Arabidopsis thaliana: one gene and its partners. The protein of the gene in region 1 interacts with the protein of each later gene in a pairwise test. Each region holds a gene or a part of one and is shown in the gene's direction. Other genes may lie near its edges. The genes, in order: MYB49, COR27, NAM and AT2G28060.

Evidence for each region.
Region 2: the proteins of MYB49 (region 1) and COR27 interact in a two-hybrid assay, tested with the Arabidopsis thaliana proteins (one large-scale study listed by BioGRID).
Region 3: the proteins of MYB49 (region 1) and NAM interact in a two-hybrid assay, tested with the Arabidopsis thaliana proteins (one large-scale study listed by BioGRID).
Region 4: the proteins of MYB49 (region 1) and AT2G28060 interact in a two-hybrid assay, tested with the Arabidopsis thaliana proteins (one large-scale study listed by BioGRID).

Annotation. Positions count from the first base shown.
Region 1 is NC_003076.8:22,015,634-22,019,649, reverse strand, and holds MYB49 (myb domain protein 49), read left to right. Parts: upstream 1-1,588; 5' UTR 1,589-1,804; coding exon 1,805-1,937; intron 1,938-2,134; coding exon 2,135-2,264; intron 2,265-2,596; coding exon 2,597-3,293; 3' UTR 3,294-3,507; downstream 3,508-4,016.
Region 2 is NC_003076.8:17,197,103-17,201,791, reverse strand, and holds COR27 (cold regulated protein 27), read left to right. Parts: upstream 1-1,998; 5' UTR 1,999-2,079; coding exon 2,080-2,187; intron 2,188-2,542; coding exon 2,543-2,725; intron 2,726-2,813; coding exon 2,814-3,099; intron 3,100-3,182; coding exon 3,183-3,289; intron 3,290-3,369; coding exon 3,370-3,426; 3' UTR 3,427-3,627; exon of another isoform or gene 3,628-3,873; intron 3,874-4,120; 3' UTR 4,121-4,151; downstream 4,152-4,689. Other genes in the region: AT5G42905 (Polynucleotidyl transferase, ribonuclease H-like superfamily protein), read left to right, coding at 1-217, 351-378; AT5G42895 (ECA1 gametogenesis related family protein), read right to left, coding at 4,629-4,689. UniProt on the Arabidopsis thaliana protein: Together with COR28, involved in central circadian clock regulation and in flowering promotion, by binding to the chromatin of clock-associated evening genes TOC1, PRR5, ELF4 and cold-responsive genes in order to repress their transcription.
Region 3 is NC_003070.9:19,688,208-19,692,566, reverse strand, and holds NAM (NAC (No Apical Meristem) domain transcriptional regulator superfamily protein), read left to right. Parts: upstream 1-1,977; 5' UTR 1,978-2,136; coding exon 2,137-2,326; intron 2,327-2,423; coding exon 2,424-2,728; intron 2,729-2,814; coding exon 2,815-3,282; 3' UTR 3,283-3,859; downstream 3,860-4,359. UniProt on the Arabidopsis thaliana protein: May encode a transcription factor involved in the elaboration of shoot apical meristems (SAM).
Region 4 is NC_003071.7:11,949,337-11,953,976, reverse strand, and holds AT2G28060 (5'-AMP-activated protein kinase beta-2 subunit protein), read left to right. Parts: upstream 1-1,723; 5' UTR 1,724-1,934; exon of another isoform or gene 1,935-2,199; 5' UTR 2,200-2,281; intron 2,282-3,333; 5' UTR 3,334-3,358; coding exon 3,359-3,385; intron 3,386-3,485; coding exon 3,486-3,803; 3' UTR 3,804-4,106; downstream 4,107-4,640. UniProt on the Arabidopsis thaliana protein: Regulatory subunit of the probable trimeric SNF1-related protein kinase (SnRK) complex, which may play a role in a signal transduction cascade regulating gene expression and carbohydrate metabolism in higher plants.

The DNA of each region.
Region 1 (4,016 bases):
AGGGTCTACTTTTTTTTTTGATAAAGCAGTCTTTTATTTTTAAAACATGCATCACAAAATTTACCTTCATGAATCAATTCCCTGTGAGACAATGATATGATTTAAAGTTTACATGTAAAATATTCTATACCGTGGAAAAACACTCATTTCATTGTTATATAACGAAAAATATGAATTATATGGACGCAAAATAACTATTTACTAGATATATCGATGTTATAGAAATAATATTATATTAAAAAAAACGATATATACGGTTTAGTGTTAGTGTAAGTTTATATTTTTGGCACTTGTTGAAAACGTTATGATAACTTGTTTATTATCAACCTAACATGTTTTATACGGCTATACCGCATAAAGTGTAGAATTAATTTTACCTCTTTATATGACACAATAATATTTAACATGTAACAAGAGCAAGGGGTTACTTGTCAAATACGCCTATGCACTAAACAATGATAAATTGGTCATTCTCCTAATTTAAAAAGTCACTTTATCATTCTTCTCTAATACCAAACCTTTCTATATAATCACTCTTAAACCGGCCGATAACTTGTTTTCCAAATAATCTAAAACTTATACTAACCAAATTTAACTAAAATAGTAATAATTTCTTACAAATATCAAATCAAAAAATTTCAAATCCCTGACTTGTCAAATCAACCATGTTTCGGACTGAGACCAAAGTCTCTGCAATTCAATGACACATGTATATTATATAGTATTGTTTCATTAATCACACATGTATTTTGACCGTTAACATGCCTTGTTCTTTACGTATGTTGCACTGCAACAACGCTTTGTCGTTAATTTACCTAACTTAGTAAAAACAAAATACATGTCTTAGATTATCAGTTATTCAAACTTGTCGTTATGTAATTGTTATTGAAGTAAACAGAAACTCTGGTGCGATGCAGGACGTTACTCAAACTGAGTCACTTCGATCGGATGTCTTAATTCAAGCAGGACAATCTAGCTTTGCTACTGAAATTTGATGACACGATGATATATATCTATTTCCAACCGATGAAGCACACTGGAGATCCGTTTGGATTTTTATTGTTTTTACTTTTTTACACTATCGTAATCATTCTTTACATATTTCCTTTTTATTTTCTCCTTAGAAGAGAAATTATTTGTATACAAAACTTAGAAGGCTAAATAAGCATATTTATTCAGTATAATCACTGTAACCACACCTTATTCAATAAAATTCTTATTTTGAATCTGTCTATTTATGTATATGATATTGCTATAGTGATGACAGATGAGTAAACATTAAACATACACGCAACATAGCTATCTTGAAAACTGTTTGATGATTTGAGACAAAGAGACCAAAACAAATGGAACCTTCTTCACATATCTATCACACGTCCTCATACACCACCCATATTCTGCCATGTGTTCTCACTCCATCAATATTAATTATTTTTAGGGTTAATAGAGATGGTTTAGTCTCATGCTTTTTGTTTATTACTTTTTTTCTTTGGTCAGAGCTTTTTGTTTGTTAGTAAGGACTTTAAAGATAGAGAGTAAAAATTACTCTTTTGTTTTGTCAACATAATAAGCAGTTTTTTTCTACTTCATTTTGTCTCCGTATTTCATCAAGAAAAGACACGTATTTAGATAGATGATGGAAGGGCGGTACCAAATCTCCTTGACTTGACTTTGCATGTACCATATATATATTTGTATATACATAAATCATAATTCATGAAGAAACCAAATTTTCTCTGTAATCAAGTTCTCAAAGCTTATTAGCTTCTCTCTCTAGTTCTCTCACATATAACATTTGAAAAAGATGGGAAAATCTTCAAGCTCGGAGGAAAGTGAAGTGAAGAAAGGGCCATGGACTCCGGAGGAAGACGAGAAGCTCGTAGGCTATATTCAAACGCACGGTCCCGGCAAATGGCGTACCCTTCCCAAGAACGCCGGTAAATTCCTACCCTAACGCATGTATATATACAAATAGCTAAATCCTATCAGCTACAATATGTTTTCCTGCGTTTTGTTTTACGTTTATGTTTAAAATTTACTAATAATGATTATCATGCTAGATCATGTCAACGTTAGAATTAAAATTAAAACAATCATGGTTCTTATTCGTTTTTCTTGGTGTGAATCTTAAAAGGGTTAAAAAGATGCGGGAAGAGTTGTAGATTGCGATGGACGAATTATCTAAGACCCGATATCAAGAGAGGAGAGTTCTCTCTTCAAGAGGAAGAAACCATCATTCAACTTCATCGTCTTCTTGGAAACAAGTTAGTCTATCTGCAATTTTTCATTTCTTCATTTAGTGTATAATTGTTTACATGTATGATTAAATTAAGTAAAAAATGACCTAGTTTTCCACTACTACACCTACTTCATTGGACTTCCATGTCTTTACATTTTTGTTATAATATTACTTGCATATTTTATTTTATTCAACTAAAAGACAAGAACATAGTTAAGCACTATACCAAGGTCAAATGTCTAAAGCTAAGCATGCAATCTTCAACTCGCTGCAGCTAATATCTTAACAAGTTAAAACTTATACTTCTCTTTTTGATTTTAACTTAAAATCTATAACACGATATTTTTTCTTCTATAGATGGTCCGCAATTGCTATTCACTTACCAGGAAGAACAGATAATGAAATCAAAAACTATTGGAACACACATATTAAAAAGAAACTCTTACGAATGGGGATTGATCCGGTGACTCATTGTCCCCGCATTAATCTTCTCCAGCTCTCTTCGTTTCTTACCTCATCATTGTTTAAATCTATGTCACAACCGATGAATACTCCATTTGATCTCACTACTTCAAATATTAATCCTGATATCTTGAATCATCTCACTGCCTCTCTCAACAACGTTCAGACCGAATCATACCAACCAAACCAACAGCTTCAAAACGACCTAAACACTGACCAAACCACTTTCACCGGTTTGCTCAACTCAACACCACCCGTTCAATGGCAAAACAATGGAGAATACTTGGGAGATTATCACAGTTATACCGGTACAGGTGATCCATCTAATAACAAAGTCCCTCAAGCCGGAAACTACTCATCAGCCGCATTTGTATCCGACCACATTAATGATGGTGAGAATTTTAAGGCCGGATGGAATTTCAGTTCATCAATGCTAGCGGGAACTTCATCGAGCAGCTCGACACCGTTGAATTCGTCTTCGACTTTTTATGTCAATGGTGGAAGCGAAGATGATAGAGAGAGTTTTGGTAGCGACATGTTGATGTTTCATCATCATCATGATCATAATAATAATGCTTTGAATCTATCATAATGTCTTATTTATTTTGCTTCTTGATCTTATTTGTTTTATTTTTACTTTTTTTTAATGGGGGTTTGTAATTGTGTTACATACTTTGTAATATAAGAGCTTAGTCTATTATTATGTTGACTCTTTTTTTTTTTTTTGTTCTACTTTTTTTGATCCGAAAAGGTTTCTATTTGTTTACACTTAAAAAAGTTATAAAACCTAAGAGGATAACAGCTAGTGTACCTTTATCTTGACTTTGTTCTTCTACTAATTGTTTTTTCTGCTTCGAAGAACTTTACATTAGTCGACTCTCAAAAGGTCATAAGATGGTTGATAAGTGTGTTACGTACATACTTAGTATTTTAAGAGTTAAGTGTATTCTTAATCTTGGATTTCTTGTGCATTTTCTTCCACTAATTGTTCTTATTTTCCAATTCGAAGAACTTTCCATTCGTTATACCTAAAAGGTCTTCAACTTGTACGAAAATTTTCTGGTGTTATAGTTTTATTATTCTATTTGCACCATCTTGATTTTGATGATTAAGAACACATTTGGTGGAGCAGGAGACAATAGTGATTATATTTAATTGGTCATAGACTCATAAAGGGGAGTTTTCAATTTCATAATACAAGAAAAAAGAAATAATCGACTTGTTTTCCCTTATGATTGGTTTGAAATCAGCACAAATAAATAGTAATACACCTAAAAGGAAGATTTAAATAGTTATCCACTATGAGAAAATGTGT
Region 2 (4,689 bases), 4.8 Mb from region 1:
GTGGCTTTTCTCTAAATATAGGCCGATGCTCAGCTCAACATGCAGAGCTATGGGGAGTGTATTACGGATTGTATTTCGCATGGGAGAAGAAGGTGCCTCGAGTGGAGTTGGAGGTGGATTCAGAGGCGATAGTGGGTTTCCTCAAAACAGGGATTAGTGACTCTCATCCGCTGTCATTCCTGGTGCGGTTGTGCCACAACTTTCTACAGAAAGACTGGTTGGTCCGAATTGTTTACGTGTATAGAGAAGCTAATTGTCTTGCGGACGGATTAGCAAACTATACAATTTTGTTATCTTTAGGCTTTCATTCTTTTGATTTTGTTCCCGATGCGATGTCATCTTTGTTGAAGGAGGATACTCTTGGGTCTACTCAACTAAGGCGAGTTCGTTTGTAACTTTTCTTTAGTTTCTTAATAAATCACGGGAGGCAATTGTCTCCCGGTCACTTACCAAAAAAAGACTGGACATAATTTTATAAAAAAAATATCGAACAAAAAATTAATAATAAATATATACAATTTTTAAAATATTATAAAATAAAAATTTATTTAAGAAGAGTTAAGATAAAGATACGCATTCTTAAAATACTTAATTGTAATTTGTACACAACCATCTATAACGAAGAGTTGTGATAGGAAAATTAGAGCAAAAGTAAAACTTAAGGAGAAAAACAAAACCTTAACTGAAAATGTATAGATAAAAATTTATAAAAAAGAAATACAATTTTCTAAAATTTAAATTATTTCATATAATTAAAAGTCTTAAATAAATATTTTGCAAAGAGTTACAACAATCAATAAGCACTACGATAGAAGACATATTTACAATTTATTAATTTGTATATTCACATAATTACTCACCCTTCTCTTACAAGGTAGAGTAAATTATTTTTATTCAAACTCATCATTGGTGTAACCTTTCTTGAAAAGATGTATATCTATCTTAAACTAAAATTGAAGGAGTTTTCCTGTTTCTTAAGATTACTGAGTATTTAAGTATTTTTTATTATTTGGATAAGTTAAAATGGTTAAATGGGTAATTTATAATTCATAGAATCTTACATGGTAGAGTATATTGATCCAAACTGATCATTTGTATAACCTTTCTTGAAAATCATAGATCTATCTTAAAACTAAACTGTAAGCTTTTTTTTTACTTTTCAATTCCCTAAGATTATGTCTCCACTTTAATATTTTACCATTTCTCTTAAACAGAAAAATTGAATATACCTATTTATAAGTATTCAAAATTTATTTTTAGGTAGAATTTAGCGCAAAAGTTTATTAAACTTTACGTTTACAATCTCATTATTTAATATTCACGTGAATGAATATTTTGACATGGTAAATATAATATAACACTATAAATAATATATTTACATATGATGAAAAGAAGAATAATTTGATAAATTAGAAATTCACATAATACATGAAATAATCACATATTAATTCCACCCTAACTAGCTAAATGATAAAAATAAAATCATATAAATCAGTTCATAAAACAAAAAATGTCTCGGGAAAAAAAAAACACTCTTCCAAAAGAGACATGTAATAGTCAATTTATTTCTATTTTCATAATCATCGTTAATCCTCATTGCATGTGGTACAATTATTCTAATAAGAAAAGTGAATCGTCCCAATAAATAATCCTAAAATGCCGTCTTAAAAAAGGCAATCTATAAAATTATTTATAAATATCTAAGAATGAGTTGTCTACTTTCCATTGATTAAAAAGAGAAAATATCATAAACAAAAAAAAAAAGTCAGAGAAGTTAAACCAAAAGCAACAAAAAAGAAAAAAAGAAAGAATAATCAAGAGAGAGGAGAAGAGGACGGTGGAAGATATTTTGCAGTTGAAGAAAATATCTTTGATATTTTTTGTGTTTGAAATATCTAAAACCAAAAAGTTTCATCTCTTCATTCCGCCAAATTGACTGGTGATGACGTGGCAACTTTACCCACGTGTAAAAGCGTCTACAACTGTATCGTTTCTTTTGATATTTTGTTTCTCTCTTTCTCTCTGATATTTTTCATTTTCTTCTTCTTCTCTCTCTCTCTCCACAAAGATAAGCCAACAATGGTTGGTGATTACAGAGGACGCTTTAGTAGCCGTCGTTTCTCCGATGACTCTGACGATTCTTCCGACGATGCTTCTTCCGTGGAGGGAGAGACCACTTCTTCCATGGTATTTATACATATTCCATGTTTTCTTTCTTTTTCATTGATATTTTTGCATGTCTGTTTTTCCTCGCCGGAATCGGAATCTCCGTCGTGTTCGCTGCTCAGATCTGAATTTTTACGGCGATTTAACGTTTTTGATGGAATTAGTGCGTTTATTGTTGATTATTGTGAAGTAAACGAAAGAGTTTATTTACACTAATGAACATAAATTGTTCGATATTTGTCTTGTTGATGAATTTGGTTGCTTCTTTGCGATTGAAGAGATAATTAGATGTTTATAGATTTGATATCTACATAAGGATTCTGAGCTGTGTAATGACAACTTTGTAACAAAATCATTTTTGTGAACTTTGGTGTAGTACTCTGCGGGGAAAGAGTATATGGAAACAGAATGGACTAATGAGAAGCATAGTTTATATCTTAAATCTATGGAAGCTTCATTCGTAGATCAGTTATATAACTCGCTCGGAGCTCTCGGGAAGAACGAGAATGTATCCGAATCAACGAGGTTCGGTAGCGGTAGAAAACCGTCTCAAGAACAGGTATGACACTTTTTTTTTAATAGATGATGATGATGTTATAGTGTTAAGAAGATTTTGGGATCATTGAAATGTATGTTTATGGTATCAGTTCAAGGTTCTTCATGATGGTTTCTGGCAGAAGATTAATGTGAAACAACCTGAACATCGGATTAACGGAAGGCACGGTGGTAATTCTCATGAGTTTCTTAGGAGTCCATGGATTAAGCATTATAAACCTTTAGTAAAGACACAAATCCCGGTAACGGATGAGCCCGAAAATCAAGTTGTTAGCAGCTCTAATGGGAAGAAGGGAATATGCAGCTCTGGCTCAGCCTCTAGTCTCAAGCAGCTAAGCTCTCATTCGCGTGACCACGACCAAATCAGCGTTGGAGAAGGTATTAGTTTATCAAAAATGTGTTTCTTTCCTCTGTTTAGATATGTTGTTTCTATTCTAAATTTGTCTTGTGATGTTTTAAAGCAGAGGTATCGGATCAGAACTTTGTTAACGAAGGAATAAAAGGCGAAAACGGAAGCTCGAAGAAGATGAAGACGGTGATGATGAGTGAATCGTCGAGTACCGATCAGGTAACTTCTTCCTCCACTATTAGTTTGATCATATTAGTGAATGTGGTGAGTTATTGATCCAAAATGTTTCCTTGGCATAGGTTGTTCCACTCAATAAACTCTTGCAACATGACGTAAATTTGAAGTCTGTTTCTTGAGAGGTCAGATGGTGAAGCTTTATATGAGGAGAGAATTTTGTAATGTATATATATTTGCATAACTTATAAGTCAAATTTACTATCCTTAGTTACAAGTTTCTTCATCATATATCCCTAACTATAAATATATTTATATGCTCATGTGAGTGGATTCATTTGTACTGTAAAACCCTTAGAAAGACGTCAAATTAGTATTTGATGGTTTAGTGTTGTCTTGTTACCACTATAGTATAAAATTTCAAGTTCCTTAATTTTCTTTTATGTTGCCCATACAATAAAAATGGTGGTCGAATAAAGGTAAAAGATAATAAAAAATAATTGAGCCGGTTATTATACAAACGGTGTTGTTTGGATAAAGCTAATTGGCTAAGGGTTGTGTATGTGTTGGAATCAAACCTTGATTAATTTCGAAGAAGAATCTAGGAATGAGAAAAGAAAGTGAAGAGGATCAAAAAAAAAAAAAAAAAAAAAAAGAGAAGAAGAGAAGAAGAAGGTGTCTCAGAAGAGTCGATCGCGAGAGTGAGGGAGAAGAGTGCTTTGGGCCATTAAGTTGAATCAGCCCACTATGTTAGTGGGTTGACTTTGATGATAAAGTTATATTTTTTTCTTATTATTATACAAAGTTGGGTTTGTTATATTTAACACCAAAAATAGAAAACATTTTTTAACCATATCGGAAAAATAAAATATATAGGTTGTTTATATATTCAAATTTTTATTTTAATATAGTAAACTATTAAAGTAATTTTACCAAAAAAGTTAATATATTCAAAACATAAGTAAAAATTTGGTTTCGAATGTATAAAATTGAAATTTGATTTTTTAAAATATATAGATTATTATTTAGAATCTAAGTATCAGAAAAAGAAAATTTATTTATTTTTCACACCTCCTATTTATCGGACATTAACTAGTCAATTTAATAATCGTTCATAGATTTTGTGTTACGACATATTTAAAAGATTTATGAAAACAATTTTAAGTTCTGAACATTGCAAGGCTAAATTAAGTATGGACTCAATGTTTCAAATTGTTATTCATCAGATTTAAAGAATGAGTAAATTTTGAATACAAATATGACTCTTTTATTAATGTATCATCATGTTTTTTTTTTTTTTTGAGTATAACATGTAAAGTAAGCTAAAAGTTTAAAAAATAAATTAAAAAGAAAAAAACAAATATTTTTAAAATATATTAAAGCTCTATTTTGGTGTCGGAGGAGTTGCACCAGCAATTCTTGAACATTGTTCCTTTAGCATTGGA
Region 3 (4,359 bases), on another chromosome or scaffold:
GCTGGCAAGCTGACGGTGGACAATATTTGCTGATCGTTCTAGTTTTCGATAGAAAACTCGTATTTATCGTTTGCATAAATATCTACTTTATTTGCACTAAGTCAAAGTTTAGTTTTTTTTACTTTTTAGTGACGAAAAAAAGTTCATAAGATCCGTTCATTGCCACCCTCAAATAATCCTTTCATTATCTCTTTATCTATTTGTATAGAAAATTAGTTTGTGAGAAAAACGCATCAGGTCTGATATATATATATAAACCAACGATTAAAGGTTTAAGAAATAATAAAAATTAGAGTGTGAAAATAATAAAATTTCGCATTACTCAAACAGTTGGTAATTCTTGCTTATATTGTTATGTAACTCATAACCAAAAATAGATATATTAAATAATATATTGTTATATATTAATTATCAAGATAATTAATTAATTTTTTGTTAATTGATGAATTTCTTTATAAAATTCCAATGGTCACAAAATACAAAGGGAATACAAAAGCGTGATATGACATTTGAAACGTAAAAAAGCTTTTTTGAATTTTCACTTTGTTGCCTTGTGTGGCACTTAAGCGGGTCCCATTTTACAGCTTGCCACGTGTCGACGTAATGTACTCAGAATAACACGGTACTATTGGAAGCATGCACCTTCAGTTATTTGTCCACACATGATAATCAAAAAAAAAAAGTGATACGTAGAAGTTTTTGCATTGGTAAAAAATATTTTAATTTATATTCTGTTTTCATTAAATTTTAAATTATTCTATTTTAAAGTATTTGTTTAACCGTTAAAAGGTAAAACTATATAGTATACCACTTAAGTTTAGGGATGATGAAAAAAACTACCACGTAAAACAATAATAAATCGGTTGGTTGAAACCTTGCAAGTTCCATGTAAATTTATTAAAGTATATATTATTTTAAAAATATTTTATAGATAAAAAAACTAAATTAATAGTGCCGTGCACTTTTCTTATATGATTTTTGTTATTATAATTTTTTTTAATTTTTTTATTATAACTTACTATAGAGACAAAAATATATATATGCTTATTGGATGAAAACAATCGCTATCGTTGTTAATGGTCGCTCGTGTCAAGCCACACTTTGAGCCTATATGAACACAGACGATAATGCATGGTTAAAGAGGTTAAGAAAGTCATTATCGACTCCGAAATCACTATTTTACCCTCCTTTGCCTTGGTTAGTATCGTAATTTAAAAAGATTCGACATGATTAGTCAGACTTTGTATATGTGTCGAATTGTCGCCACTCTTTATCTCCTTTTAGTACAAACCAAACCACACTAAACTCGGCTGAATTATGGGAGATTATGTATTATTATTGATTGCCAACAAATTCTAATATTCCGGGTCTAAAATAATAAAATATTATTTTTTGGGGTACAATTGTTAATTACAAACACTAATCTGAGATTAACAGTATTTTGTAGGTCAAACAAACTTTACAAAAAACAAATGGTTTTATCATCTTATGAATTGAAATCTACAGAAGATGAAAGATAAACTACGATTTAATTCTAGCTAAGTACATATAGATCAAATTAATTAGTGAAAAGGATCAACAAAGCAAATTAAATGTACTCTCTCATGATTCACGAAGATAAGATAGCATCATCTATTTTAATTTGAAATCAATGATAGAAATCTCTTTACCTACACCTTCCTACACATATGGGTCAAAACGTTTTTTTTTTGGTATGACATTTTATTCCTTTTTCCTGTTGCTAATCTACATATATAACTACATAGCGTACAGCTATACATATTAAATATATTAGATCTCTACAATAGGTTAAACTGTAACACAAACTATTGATTTAGATAGCTACGGTAATTAATACGTTTTGATCGTCCATATTCCACAAATATAAATAGAAATACCATTTGATGTGTAACAAAAAAATCTCATAGACATTTATGGTTTTAATACAAAAAAAATTCTCAAAAATTGTAAATAAATACGAGTGGATACGATGGTCTACGTACAAAAGATTCCAGAGGATAAAAGCCATTTTGATTTGTCGTTTTAATGCCTTCCATTTTTAAAAAGAAAGATTACTAACGCCGACTCTCTAAAACTCTCTCAAACCATAAAAAATATTCTCCGATCATCATTTTAATGGAGAGTACAGATTCTTCCGGTGGTCCTCCGCCGCCGCAACCAAACCTCCCTCCAGGATTCCGGTTTCATCCAACAGACGAAGAACTTGTAATTCATTACCTCAAACGCAAAGCAGATTCTGTTCCTTTACCAGTCGCGATCATCGCCGACGTTGATCTTTACAAATTTGATCCATGGGAACTTCCCGGTAAGTTGAAACAAGACCAAGATCATAATCCGATCAGATCTGTTTCATTTTTTTTTTTACTGATTTTTGTTTTTTTTTGTGTTCTTGATTGTGACAGCGAAAGCTTCGTTTGGAGAACAAGAATGGTATTTTTTCAGTCCAAGAGATCGGAAATATCCCAACGGAGCTAGACCTAACCGAGCTGCGACTTCCGGTTATTGGAAAGCGACTGGTACAGATAAACCGGTGATTTCAACCGGCGGTGGTGGTAGTAAAAAAGTGGGAGTTAAAAAGGCTCTAGTGTTTTACAGTGGTAAACCACCAAAAGGAGTTAAATCAGATTGGATTATGCATGAATATCGGTTAACTGATAATAAACCTACTCATATTTGTGACTTCGGCAACAAGAAAAACTCTCTCAGGGTATATTATTATAATATTCTTAAAATCTTGATTTTAAAAGAAAAGTTTTGATTGGCTAATTTTTGATTCTTTTTATTACTATGTAGCTTGATGATTGGGTGTTGTGTCGTATCTACAAGAAAAACAATAGTACAGCATCTAGACATCATCATCATCTTCATCATATTCATCTAGATAATGATCATCATCGTCATGATATGATGATTGATGATGATCGATTCCGTCATGTTCCTCCTGGTCTTCACTTCCCGGCGATTTTTTCTGACAATAATGATCCGACGGCTATATATGATGGTGGCGGCGGCGGATACGGAGGTGGAAGTTACTCGATGAATCATTGTTTCGCATCTGGATCAAAGCAGGAGCAGTTGTTTCCACCGGTGATGATGATGACTAGTCTAAATCAAGATTCCGGTATTGGATCGTCGTCGTCACCTAGCAAGAGATTTAACGGCGGCGGCGTTGGAGATTGTTCGACTTCTATGGCGGCGACGCCGTTAATGCAGAACCAAGGTGGGATTTACCAATTGCCTGGTTTGAATTGGTATTCTTGAAAACAATTTACGATGAAGAATTTTTAAAATTTGTGTATATATATACGGTTTGAGTGATTAGGGGGCATTGGGGGATTTATTTACGGTTGATTATTATTGTAGTGTTATAGAACTAAGGAGATTAAATTAAATAGATTGGAGGAGAGGTATAAGGTAACATATAGAAATTATACAACAATAGTTTAAATATTCTTTTCTTTTCTTTTTCATGTTATTATTTTTACTAATGTATAGGTGATGATTATACTTAGATGTTTGTAGCTTGTATAAATTAATGCATGCATATATATAAAAATATATTAACAGTTATAGAAACTAGATTACCCTTGTGCTTTTCTTCAGCTATTTATTTTCAGTACTATCAGCTTCAACATTCGCATGTTTTGCTGCAAATTTTATTTTTTAAAAACATGATTTTAAAGTGACATCAGAAATACTATTTGGTAGAAGACCCTAACTTATAAGAAACAGACGATAATGAAACTATCTGGCGGAGCTTTTATTTGACTTTGTCGAAAACATGTTCGGAACCAAATCTTGGCAATCAAAATAAGTGGAGATAAAAGATACGACAAAGGGCCTTCAAATCTGGTTTGAATCAATAGTTTTAAACTGAAAAGTTTTAATCTTTTTGTTAGATCAAACAAATGTTGCACTTGTTGTAAAAACAATGTTCAAAAAATAAATATGATGTTCATAATTAAATTCGAATCGAATACATGTAATGGACATCTTTAATCATTTTTTTTTTCTTTTCTTTTCATAATGATAAATACAAATTTGATGCTGAGTAGAATAATAAAAAACACAATATTACGTTTATATTAAACAAAAAAAGGCATACATATCCATCTCTTTATATTATATTTATACCATCCTTAACCAAATTTGATTTCCAAGAAAAGAGAAGCTATTCCCATGGCAAGTAATGAAGTTCAAGCTAATCAACTCGAAAGGCAGAATGCTACTGTCAGCGATGTGTTAGCCGATCCTCTATGCACATGTTGGTGAGTTCATAACACAATTTAATTACTAGTTTCCAAAATTTAGTGTCTCTCTAATATATATGTTCTTCTT
Region 4 (4,640 bases), on another chromosome or scaffold:
TGGGAGGAGATATACACTGGTTTAGGGTTAAAGTTCATAAATGGGCTCGTGAGTGATGGCTGGAAACATAAGAGAGAAGAGTAAGTAGGAGAGGACAGAGGCAAAATGGCTGGAAAATGGTATTAATCAAAATACGATTTTATATGTGTGATAGAGATACAAAAAAGTGTTGATGGGGTCGGGAAGATCAGAAAGAGGTAGGAAAGTCCGTGAGTTTCAGAAATTACAATCAAAGATCAAACATTTGTCTTTGCATTTATGAATTATGACACACTCACACGCAATTTTCTATATTTTCAAACTATTGTTTCTCTTGTTTTAAAATGGTTTGGAGATTGGACATGGATTTTTAAATATATATATTATTATGTACACGGTTGCATGGGTTTTCGGGACTATTGGATTTTGCTTTCTTTTGGATAACAAAAACACGATAAATATTTCATTAAACCATACAAATCTTCGATTGATAAATACATATACGAAAACATACCTAAGGAAAAGGAATCCATTGTTGTAGGATTTAGGTACCATGCGGTTTTCCAAACCATAGAGTAATCTCATATGTATTGAAATTTAAAAAAAAAAAAATACAAAGAAGAACTAAAAAACAGAAAAAAAAAACTAAGAAAATAGGGAAATTAAGTTGGAGTCTCTTTAATTTGTTTTTTTTTTGTCATCTAGAGTTATTTTAATGTTACCATGATGAAATACTTGATAAAATACAACATTAAACCGAAAGAAAACGAGATTTTTTCGAAGTTTAAGCCCTAAGTAAAAAAGTCATAAATAATACTACAAAGCAAGAGGAAAAAAGCAATAGTAGTTGAAATCCCACCAAAACTATAAGTCGCATAGTTCTTGAAGATTATTTGAAAGAAAAGTATCGCGGATGCCCACCACCAACCAACGATACACAAGTCCTCCTATTGAGATGAACAACAACCTTCAGATTTCAGAATTTTTAAGCTTTATAACCTGATAACCACTGCCCAAACTTTCTTTCGTATGTGGTGATGTCATAAATCGACAAGAAACAATAAACATTAAGATTATGTGCCTTCATTGGATCATGGACTGAAAATTAAGCTCTTCGATCAACTAAAACAAATTTATCATCATTGTTTTCATACTCGCTGCTAAGTTTGCAGGGGAGTATTAGAGTCCACAACTAAAACAAGTCCAAACCCAATGTGAGGTCTACATAAGTAGAATTTTAACAAGTTAGAAGATTCATATAAACAATTATGTAATGAGAACTATGATTGTAACTTTGAGAGAACTCTCTTCCTTCATCTTATGAAATATCAAATCTAGAAACATTGGCTTTTGGTGACAAACCTTAAGCTCCTTTACATTTTTCTCTTCTTTACATTTCAATAAAGCTCACTAGAACTATTGCATTTCTATCTTTATATAATAAGCTCAATGAACATCAATCTATATTTGTCTTAAAAATGTCAAATAAATAGAAGTTTCATGAAAGGACCAGACCTCGATCAAGTCTGAGAAGCATAGACAAGGAGTGAAGATTTAGTCTCGATAACACCATTCTTAAGAGACGAAAAAAGGTAAAAGATCGAATCGCATAGAATCAAAGAAATCTTCACATATTCAGAGGAAAAACAGCATGTCTAGCGAACACTAGAGTCGAACAAAAGCAAACCACCAATCACACATCCTTATTTGTCAATTATTTATTTTGGAAACTAAAAAGAAAGTTAATGAGTAAAATAGTTTCCATAAGAAGAAAAAAAATGTTTTCTGAGGAAAGAAAATGTTTTCGAAGGACAGCAAAGTTTAAGCCAATAAGCAAAACAAAAGCTGATGCTTGTCGCGACTGTGTTCGTCAAGAATCTCCAGGACGAACCCAATCTTCTCTCTCGAAGCTGTCTAAAATTAATCAATCAATCATTGAGCTAATCATATTCTAGGTTAAGTAAAAACAGAGTAAACCCTCTCTTTTTTTCTCTTTCTCTGCCTTTCTCAATTTCGTTTCGTCTCCTTCGTTCTTCCAATTTCCGTCTGATTTTATACGAAATTTGCATTGATATCGAAGTAAAATCGAATACCCATGATTCAAAATTTCATTTTTTATGCGACTGATTCCTCAATTTTGATTTTCCGGTGATTTCTAGGGTTTTCTATTAGGTGGGTGTTATTTATCATTTGATGGGTCATTTACTGATGATTTTGCAGGTTTTTGTTTTAAGGATTTGTGTAGACTTTCATTGCTGCTACGTTTTTGAAAGGGTAATTTGAAGGGCTTAGCTTCCCAAAGGTGAGAATTTTAACTCCAGTTTGGCTTCTGATATTGTGTTCATTGTTATGTATTTTTAAGCTTAGTAGTTGTGTTTTAAAGTTGTTCCAGTTTGGTTGATAAGTGTGTATGTGTGTTCATCAGATTGGGTGAGTACAGTTCTTTCATTGATATCTCCAGTTGATTTGTGGGAATTTTGTTCTGTGTGTATAGGATTTAGACCTCAAATATTGGATTCTCTTTAAGCATTTAAGTGCCTGGTTTCTTCATCATCACTTGATAGGAGGACTTTACAAATTTTATTCTGAACATGGAATTTGGTTAGCCGAATAACTTCGTGGGGATTAGTTTCTCGTGCAAGGAAATTCTTCATGGTTCTGTCTTGGAAGTGTTTGGAATCTTGAAGCTTGATAGATTTTCGATGTAGGCATGATGCGGTTTTCTTATAGGTTTAAAGGGTCTTTAGCTGAGATATGGTTCCTATGGTGTGTAATAGGTTTAAAGGGTCTTTAGATGAGATAAAACTGTGCAAAGAGTTCATATAATAAATGGTTAAATCCTATATATTATCTGTTCAGTGTACATAGAGAAGAATTAGCTGTGGAATTTGGATGTACATGATAATAACAATGTAGTTTATGTCTTCCAACTTGTCTCTGTTGTGATAATGATCAATGTGTTTCTATTCTAACTCCTGTGGTCCATTGATTTTTGAATCCTTTGTCCACCTTAGTACTTTCTTCGAAGAAGGCATGGGAAAATATGATTCTCTGGTCCAACTTTCTTAAGACTGTCTGCATCTTTGGATCCTTAGATTTGTCTACGGGATTATGAATTATTTGACTTTTGATACCGATTAGACAAAAGTCTTACATTTCACACAAATAAGAGTTTGCATCATTGTAGAGAACAACATTGTTTTCATTTCTGCTTCAGTGTTTTTGAGTTGAAATGTAAACACCTCTTTCTCTTAGATTAGTTTGAATGGCACTTGAGCTGGTGTGACCTACATTCATTTTGATTGTTTACTTTGCATGCTATTGCGGTTTAGTTATGATTATATTTTGTTTCAGGCACTAGGTGGCAATCTTATCCAAGATGAACAGTCAAAATCCTGATGATCATGTAAGCCAGCTAAAACACCTTTTTGCCTTCAACCAACTAATCGAGTAATTTCCAGTCTCCCGCTCGATTTTTCAATCTTTTATCGTTTTCTTAAACATAGGAGGACACAACGGTTGTGGGATTTGAAGTACCTGTATCACCGGTTTCAAGTTACAACAATGTGTATTCCTCAACCGAAGATGAGACAAGAGATCCTCCAGCAGTACCGCCACACCTTCAACACTCTCTATTAGGCAATCAGGGTAGCATGGAACTGGCTTATGCGCCACAGAATGTTGTCCTGAACCACCTCTATATCGAGAACCGAGACGCCCCAAGATCTGTTGTAGCACTCGGTTTCTCGCATCGGTTCAGGACTAAGTTTGTCACTGTGGTGATATACAAGCCTGTCCAAAGAAGAGGGAGCGCCAATGTTTGAATAATGATACCTCTTTTTAAGTAGTGTTGGGAATTTGCTTCTTTATGGATTGAATTTGGTATACAAAACCATCTGGTCCGTACTGAATTTTATTCTTCTCTTACAGATTCGATTTAGACGGTTTCTAGGTACATTCGATTGAAATCATCTTCTTGTTCGGAGTTTATATAAAATCTCCATGCATTTTTATTTTTTAGGCCCAAAAAAGCTGATAGACGTGGGCATTGTTTGTTTGTAATAACTCCCTTAGATTGGGTTTAGTTAAACGAGCCCAAATATCGCTAATGAAGTTCTTTACTTGCTCATATGTAGTGTTACCATAAATTATTTAAATCTTTCGTAGCTCCAAAAAGGAAAAAAAAAAAAAAAAATCTTAATCAAAACTTTCTATGTCCGAGATAAGTTACCAAACTAATGCTCTAAAACTGGATTGGATCGTCGGATCAATGCATTAGTCTAAAACTGGATTGGATCGTCGGATCATTGCATTAGTTCGGTTTGAATGTAGATCACTTATACTCTCGTTGTTTTTAATTAAGTGTAGTTTTAAGGTTTTTTATTTTTTTTTAATATAAGTGTTGTTTTCACTTTTCTATGCAAACATTAAATGTATTTAATAATTTTTAATTAATTATATTTTTTTACTGGTTGGATTAGTTGTAATTAATGATGTTTTTATAGGAAAAAGATAAATTAAATAAAATTTGTATGTTTTCTTAATTTGTGTGCAAAAACTTTAAACTACAAATATTCAGTAACAGAGGGAGTATATAAAAACAAAGTTGGTTTGTGCATGGGAGCTTATTTGCACAAAATTGATTAAAAAATGGGTTCTGG